Callithrix jacchus: one gene and its partner. The protein of the gene in region 1 interacts with the protein of each later gene in a pairwise test. Links are inferred from orthologs where the notes say so. Each region holds a gene or a part of one and is shown in the gene's direction. Other genes may lie near its edges.

Region 1 (3,653 bases):
CATCTCGCTTCTCTGTGGGACTCTGAACTCCACGAAGGAGGGAGCAATTTCCTCCTGTTTATTGCTGTGCACCCGGGACCCAGCACTGAATTGGTTAAGCCATTTGCTGCCTCTGGCTGTGAGTTCTGCTCACTGAGAACTCAGTTAACCCAGTCACCTGTCTTCCCCCCACTCACACAGCCATTCAAACAGCAAGAGAACTAGAGGGACACTAGGCACAGGGAAGGGTCCCAGACATGCATACGTCCTCTGTGTCCCCCACCCCTCCATGGGCCCTGCCGGAAGTTCTTCCTGGGATTCAGGAAGAACTCTCCCTCTCCATGCAGAGTTGGTTTCCAAAGCCCTGGTCTAATTTAAGACCTCGGCAGCAACCCTCCAGGTGCAGCTGAGAGCCCTTCCTGCTCCAGGCTGTTTGTACCTGGGGCTGTCCCTGAGCAGTGGCCACAGGGTGAGGGCTGTGCCAGAGCCTCAGGGCAGGGGGCATGACTGCCCTTGTGTGCATCTCAGCCACCCAGTTATCACTTCATTCATTTAACAGCCTCATCTGGAGGATCTACCTGGGGTGGGCCTGGGGCAGAGCATGAACAAGACAGACATGGTCTCTGCCTACATGAGACTGCCAGCCTGGGGGGAGGGGGACAAATGAGTACACAGGTACACAACTACAGAAAGTGCTGTGACATGATTAAATGAGTGACACCACTGGGCATGGTGGCTCACGCCTAGAATCCCAGCCCTTTGGGAGACTGAGGTGGGCAGATTACCTGAGGTCAGGAGTTCAAGACCAGCCTGATCAACATGGAGAAAACCCATCTCTACTAAAAAATATAAAATTAGCCAAGCATAGTAGCACATGCCTGTAATCCCAGCTATTGGGAGGCTGAGGCAGGAGAACCACTTGAACCCTGGAGGCAGAGGTTGTGGTGAGTCGAGATTACACCATTGCACCCCAGCCTGGGCAACAAGGGTGAAACTCCATCTCAAAAAATAAATAAATGGATGACACCCATAGAGGCACACTGGGGGACCAACTGTGGGGGTGACATGTCTGGTGAGTGAGGAGGGGATGGGGAAGAGGATCCAGGCCTTAGAGAGAGGAAAGGCGCCCCCTCCCACCACATAACTTGGCTCATGGTCGGTGGCTGTGTAGAGAAAGAAGAACGGGAAAAGAAAAGAGGTCGTAGGGGCCAAATCACCTTGGAGCCACCTGTGGTGCCAGCTGGATCCTGTCCTGAAAGAATGGGAAGCCATTGAAGGGCTTTAGTTTGGATTGTCCAGGAGAAAGGCGATGGTGGCTTGAACTAGGGCAGTGGCGGCAGATGGAGCCCAGCGGATGGGTTCCAGGCTGCATTGGAGGGGACATCCCAGGCCTTGCAGGTCATTGTAAAAGAATGGGCCACAGAGGGTTCCCAGGTGGATGGGGTGTCATTTCCAGAGACAAGAAAACCTGCAGCGAGGGAGGTTTGAAACGGGGGTGGGAGCCATGGTGATTAGACATCCAAGTATAGACAGTTGGATATGTGAGTCTGGAGCTCAGGTGAGATCTGCATATATACAAATTTGGGTTCTGTCCATATATATTTGGGAGAATGTGTGGATGGAGCTGGGATCTCACCAGTTGGTGTTGGATGGGAGGGGGAAACGGTGAAGGAAATTGGAAAGGAACAGCCCAGGAGATGGGAGGAAAACTAGCAGATAGAGATAAAGACAGACACATGCCTGTGCACTCGGCGGTGGGAAGGCTGGCAGTGGCTACACGTTGAGCAGTTTGAGAGTGGTGTGGCGATGGAGCCAGGTTCCCGTGGCTTGAGAAGAGAAGTGGGGTGTGGACGTTAAGACAGTTCAGAAGTTTCCTTTGGTAGAGGGGACGTGCAGCCAAGCCCTAGGGAGGCTGGCACGTGGGTCACGTCCCTCAGCCCTGCCTCCTCCTCACACTTGCACCAGGCCACATGGCTCCCGTGACAAGCAGGCTGACTTTACCGAGCCATCGTGTGGGCTGGGCGCCGACGTGGGTGATCTTACTGAGTCCTCCTCTTAAGCTTGTGTGGCAGGTGCTGTCATCTCCATTTTATAGAAGAGGAGTCTGAGGCTCTAGGGGCTGAAGTGGCTATCCAAGGTCACATCCAGGAAGTGGCAAGATCCCCCCACTCATCCCTTTGTCGGGTCTGCTTGGGGGCCCTGTCGCCTGGGGATTGAGGCTGGGCTCTGCGCTGACACCGCCTTTCCCTGGGAAGGGGCTGAGCTGACAGTGCCCTGGAATCTTCCCCTTCTTTCCCACAGCGGTTCCTCAGCGACTATGGCCTGCAGTGGGTGGGTGAGCCCATGGACCAGGAGGACTCAGAGAACAAGACAGTCTCAGAGGATGGCGAGAGGGACTGGATGACGGCCAGGAAGTTCTGGAAGCCAGGTAGAGTAGGGCATCCCCCAGGCCCTCTTCAAAAGGATTTCTCCAACAGCTTGCTGTTGGCCAGCAGCTCCCCAGAGGCCCATCTGATTCATGCCCTGGCCCCCCACCTGAGACGCCCTGGAGAGACCACACCTTGCCCCTGGCACAGTGTAGGGGCGGCCTCAGCCTCCATCAGCACTTAACCTGCTGGCCCATTTCTCCCTAGTCCCGCCTCTGCTCTCTCTTGCTTATCTGTCAAAGACCCAGAGATACAAGAGGTGGCAAGGCCTCATTTGCCTTAGGTTGTATAGTCACCCATCTAGAAGCTGTTGGCTTTTATAAGCAATCCTTCTGGCCGGGTGCAGTGGCTCACACCTGAATCCCAGCACTTTGTGAGGCCGAGGTGGGCGGATCACCTAAGGTTAGGAGTTCAAGACCAGCCTAGCTAATGTGGCGAAACCCTGTCTCTACTAAAAATACAAAAATAAGCCATGTGTGGTGGCACATGCCTGTAATCCCATCTACTCAAGAGGCTAAGGCAGGAGAATTGCTTCAAGCTGGGAAGTGGAGGTTGCAGTGGGCCGAGACTGCACCACTGCACTCCAGCTTGGGTGGCAAGAGTGAAACTCTGTCTCAACTTAAAAAAAAAAAAAAAAAAAAGAAAGCTCACGCCTGTAATCCCAGCACTTTGGGAGGCCAAGGCGGGTGGATCACGAGGTCAAGAGATTGAGACCATCCTGGTCAACATGTGAAACCCCGTCTCTACTAAAAAATACAAAAAATTAGCTGGGCATGGTGGCGCATGCCTGTAATCCCAGCTACTCAGGAGGCTGAGGCAGAAGAATTGCCTGAACCCTGGAGGTGGAGGTTGCGGTGAGTCAAGATCGTGCCATTGCACTCCAGCCTGGGTAATAAGAGCGAAACTCCGTCTCAAAAAAAAAAAAAAAAAAGCAGTCTGTTCTAGAAACTACTCCCAAATTCCCAGGCATGGCCTCCCTCTCCAGGTCGCTATGGCTGTTGGAATCCACCTACTTCTGTGGGCTCCCACCATGTTTTGTTTTTAACTTGGCCACTAATATCTAGAGGGATTTTCCCCCCACAGTCCCCTCCTATGGATTTGGGTCCATAGAACTGGCCATTTCTGAAAACCAGGCCCATTCTCTTCAAAGAATGGAGATTGTCACCCAAAAGATGCTTCTCCAGGCACTAGAGTAAGGCACACCTGGGCCCTCATCTCAATGCCCTCTCATCCCAGGAGTGACTAGGG
Region 2 (3,653 bases), on another chromosome or scaffold:
AGTTTTTTTTTTTTCTAAATTTTTGGGGTAAACATAAAATTTACCATCTTAACTATTTTTAGGTGTACAGTTCAGTTAATGTTAAGTACTTTGTGTGACCAATTACTGTGCAACTAATCTCCAGAACTCCTGTTCATCTTTCAAAGCTTTGTAAACTCTGTAACCCATTAAACTCCCCATTACCCCTTCTTCTTAGCTAGTGACAACCACCATTCTTTTTGTTTCTATGAATTTGATTTCTTCTTACACCTCATATAAGTGAAATCATATAGTATTTGGGTTTTCTTGGAGCAGGGGGACTGACTTATTAATGTAATGTTCTTAGCTTCTCATGTTTTATCAAGTGTTAGAATTTCTTTCATCAGAGTTTTAAATATTTCGTCATGTATATATATACTTTTTTTTCATTTATCTGTAGATGGACAGTTGGGTTGTTTCCACCTTTTGACTGTTGTGAATAATGTTGCTTTTAACATGGGGGTGCAAGTATCATTTTTTGACATTGACTTTTTATTTTTAGATGGGCACTCTGGTTTTTTAAAAATGATAAAAGCAAAACTTGGCAAGCAAACCTACGGCTGATCTCTAAGTTTGATACTGTTGAAGACTTTTGGGCGTAAGTAACCATTTGTTTTATAATGTTTGTTGTTTTATTAGCTGTGTAGTCTTTTTATTTTTAAGTTGAATTCACAAAATGAAGTGTGAGGTGAACAATTAATGAATGTTCATCTTTTTTTATCTCACAAATGTTTGAATTGGTGATTATGCTTTATTAGTTTTATAAAACTTAAATCTTGTCATCCCTCAGCCCTGATTATTCTGTTTCTTGTCCTGAGGTATCCTTTGCTCAGGAATCCTTTATTGCCCTTAGAACTTTGGACAATTAGTTGGAACTTGTTCTTCTCTTGGTTGACAAGATACATTTGCCTCATAACCAGGTATTCCAGTGCATTGTTGGGTCCTCATTTTTGCGAACTGTTTTTAGTGGAACATCTGGAATTTCCTGTACCACAGATTTTAAGATATCAAAGGCTGAAATGTTTGGAATTCAGGGTTTGTCAAGGGAATGCCAGTATCTATCATGATACTTCATTCATTTCATTATACTTTGATCAGTATCAAGAAGAATATTGGAAATATTTTTGAAATTTTGTTTCTGATATAGCAGAAAGCTAAGAATTGGGATCATCAACTTTTGTATGACTTCAAAGCAAAATTTAAGACTGGGCTCAGTGGCTCATGCCTGTAATACTAATACTTTGGGAGGCTGAGGCAGGAAGATCACTTGCGTCCAGGAGTTCAAGACCAGCCTGGTCAACATGAGTTCCTGTTTCTCTATAAAATATGTAAATTGTAACGTCTAAATTAAGAAGTTTTGATAATTGATTCTCTTAAAAACAAAGTTAATCCAGTGTGTCTAACTTATTTGGAGAATGAGTAGGGAGGGACTATTTGAGACCATGAAAGACAAAAGTCTTTAATAAGCATAAAAGCATTGAAACTTAATAATAACTACATTTAGGTCCTAATAATTTATAGGTCTAGTTGTCTAGTTAAACTAGGGTTATTCTTCTTTGCCTGTCATCAAACATCGGGTAGTTTTTCTTATATAATTATGTTTATTTAGAACTTTTAAATAACTCCAGCCTTCTGCACACACACACACACACACACACACACACACAGCTCTTCATTCTGCTACAGAGGAAAAGATTCTTAAGAGTTGCCAATTTTTTAAAAACCAATTTTGCTGTAAGTGATTACAGGAGATCAAATGATCTAAGCCTCTTGCCTTCAGGCAAGCGACTGAGTCATTGCAAATGTTATTCTGTTATTTTGATATTTGGGAAATAGTTTAGAAATACAGATTCCAGGGTTTCATTTCATATTTAGGTGGTTATAATCCCAAGAGGTAGTGCTTGGAACTATATTTTTCTAAAATCATTTTTAAAATGATTATTGTATTGACTGACCAGCGTCAGTTAGTGGTGTTTGCGAACCATTGGTCTATTCTCCTCTTGGATATTCTCGAGGATAATAATGTTGACTCTTTTAGCCACACAATCCCGATGGTCAGGAAGTTCATCTTTTCTGTTTTTTTTTTTTTTTCCTAATGTGTTTGTGAAAAAACAAAACTGTTGATTAATTTCAGAAATTATTTCATTTACTTAAAGCCACCATATATCTCTCTTCTCAGTTTCTTACATACACACATATGTATGCACTGAGTTAACTAACATATAAAAATATATTTTTGTCAGATCAATCACTAGAAATTTTTCGAAAATTATACCTGTCATCTGAAGTTGATTATTGAACTGCTTTTAAGATCTGTTTTGTCCATTTAAGAAATTGACTTCTTAGAAACAAGTAGACATGAACTTTTATCTGTTTATTTTTCATATTTTCTAAATGTATATATGTGTAAGCACCTAAACTCTGTATTACATATTCTGTGTTTTTAATTCTCATTTTCTTTTACCTAGTCTGTACAACCATATCCAGTTGTCTAGTAATTTAATGCCTGGCTGTGACTACTCACTTTTTAAGGTATGTGTAATTGGTGATTTTTATATATTTATTATAGGACTGGGCCATTTGGTAATCATTAAGAAATCTTGCCATAAACTTAGGAGTGTTTGATAGTATGGTGAGCTGGCTGATAATTTAATTGGCTTTAGTGTGCTTTAGTATAAATATATCTTACTCTTTTTGTTTATAAAAATTGAGAGAGGGTTATTCTATGGGTACCATACTGAGATTGATTTTGATGAGCGCTTTGATTATCCAGTCTACTCCTTCCTTTATATATTTGAGCAGACTGAGTTTACCAGGCATTCTTAACCTTAGGAGCATAGGCCTTTGGAATACTTATTATTGGGCCTTGTCAGGTGTAGGGACAGGACATTCATTAACTGAAATTGAATAGTTTTTGCATGTATTTTCTAGGTATAGAAGTGTACAGAGCTTCTAAAATATGTTTGCTACTTAGAAAAAGAACCTTCAAATTAAGTGAGACTCAAGATTTACTAGCTAATAAGTGACAAAGTCAAGACTGTAATTCTGCAGTGTCATGCCTCTGGCATTAAGTTTTATGTGCTTTTTAAAAACTACATCAGCGACAGCTTTATGGAGAATAAACTGAGAAGTTAACAGTGTTGTTGCTCATTGTTTCTAATGATTATCTCTCAAAGTCAAGGTAACAATATTGTGTAATACTGGTGTCTTCTAATCCTATAGGATGGTATTGAGCCTATGTGGGAAGATGAGAAAAACAAACGGGGAGGACGATGGCTAATTACATTGAACAAACAGCAGAGACGAAGTGACCTCGATCGCTTTTGGCTAGAGACAGTAAGTTTTTAAAAGTATAAAGCAGTTTTAGAGGTAGTTTTGGCATACTGAAACTTAATATATGTTACATTTTACATATGTTACTTGATTTAAGAGGAGGATGCCCAGCACTAGAAAATCAGGGTCAGTAATTACTTTTGTTCTGTCACGTGACTTCTGTTTATAGTACAGTGAAACATCCTACCATATTGTAAGTCAGATATTTGAGTGATTGGCAGTTGACTCTCACCACCAATTTTGTGATCATTTCATTCCCCGAAAATTATAAAACCTTACATTTTGTATGATTGAAGTTGTTG

The links. The genes of interacting proteins can lie anywhere in the genome.
Region 2: the proteins of UBXN11 (region 1) and EIF4E interact in binary tests that used the Homo sapiens proteins (3 or more experiments, as listed by UniProt). The link is inferred for Callithrix jacchus from reciprocal best matches to the Homo sapiens genes UBXN11 and EIF4E.

Annotation. Positions count from the first base shown.
Region 1 is NC_133508.1:62,937,889-62,941,541, reverse strand, and holds part of UBXN11 (UBX domain-containing protein 11), read left to right. Parts: intron 1-2,280; coding exon 2,281-2,407; intron 2,408-3,653. UniProt on the Homo sapiens protein: May be involved in the reorganization of actin cytoskeleton mediated by RND1, RND2 and RND3. Promotes RHOA activation mediated by GNA12 and GNA13.
Region 2 is NC_133504.1:98,576,359-98,580,011, forward strand, and holds part of EIF4E (eukaryotic translation initiation factor 4E), read left to right. Parts: intron 1-520; coding exon 521-616; intron 617-2,486; coding exon 2,487-2,550; intron 2,551-3,240; coding exon 3,241-3,354; intron 3,355-3,653. UniProt on the Homo sapiens protein: Acts in the cytoplasm to initiate and regulate protein synthesis and is required in the nucleus for export of a subset of mRNAs from the nucleus to the cytoplasm which promotes processes such as RNA capping, processing and splicing.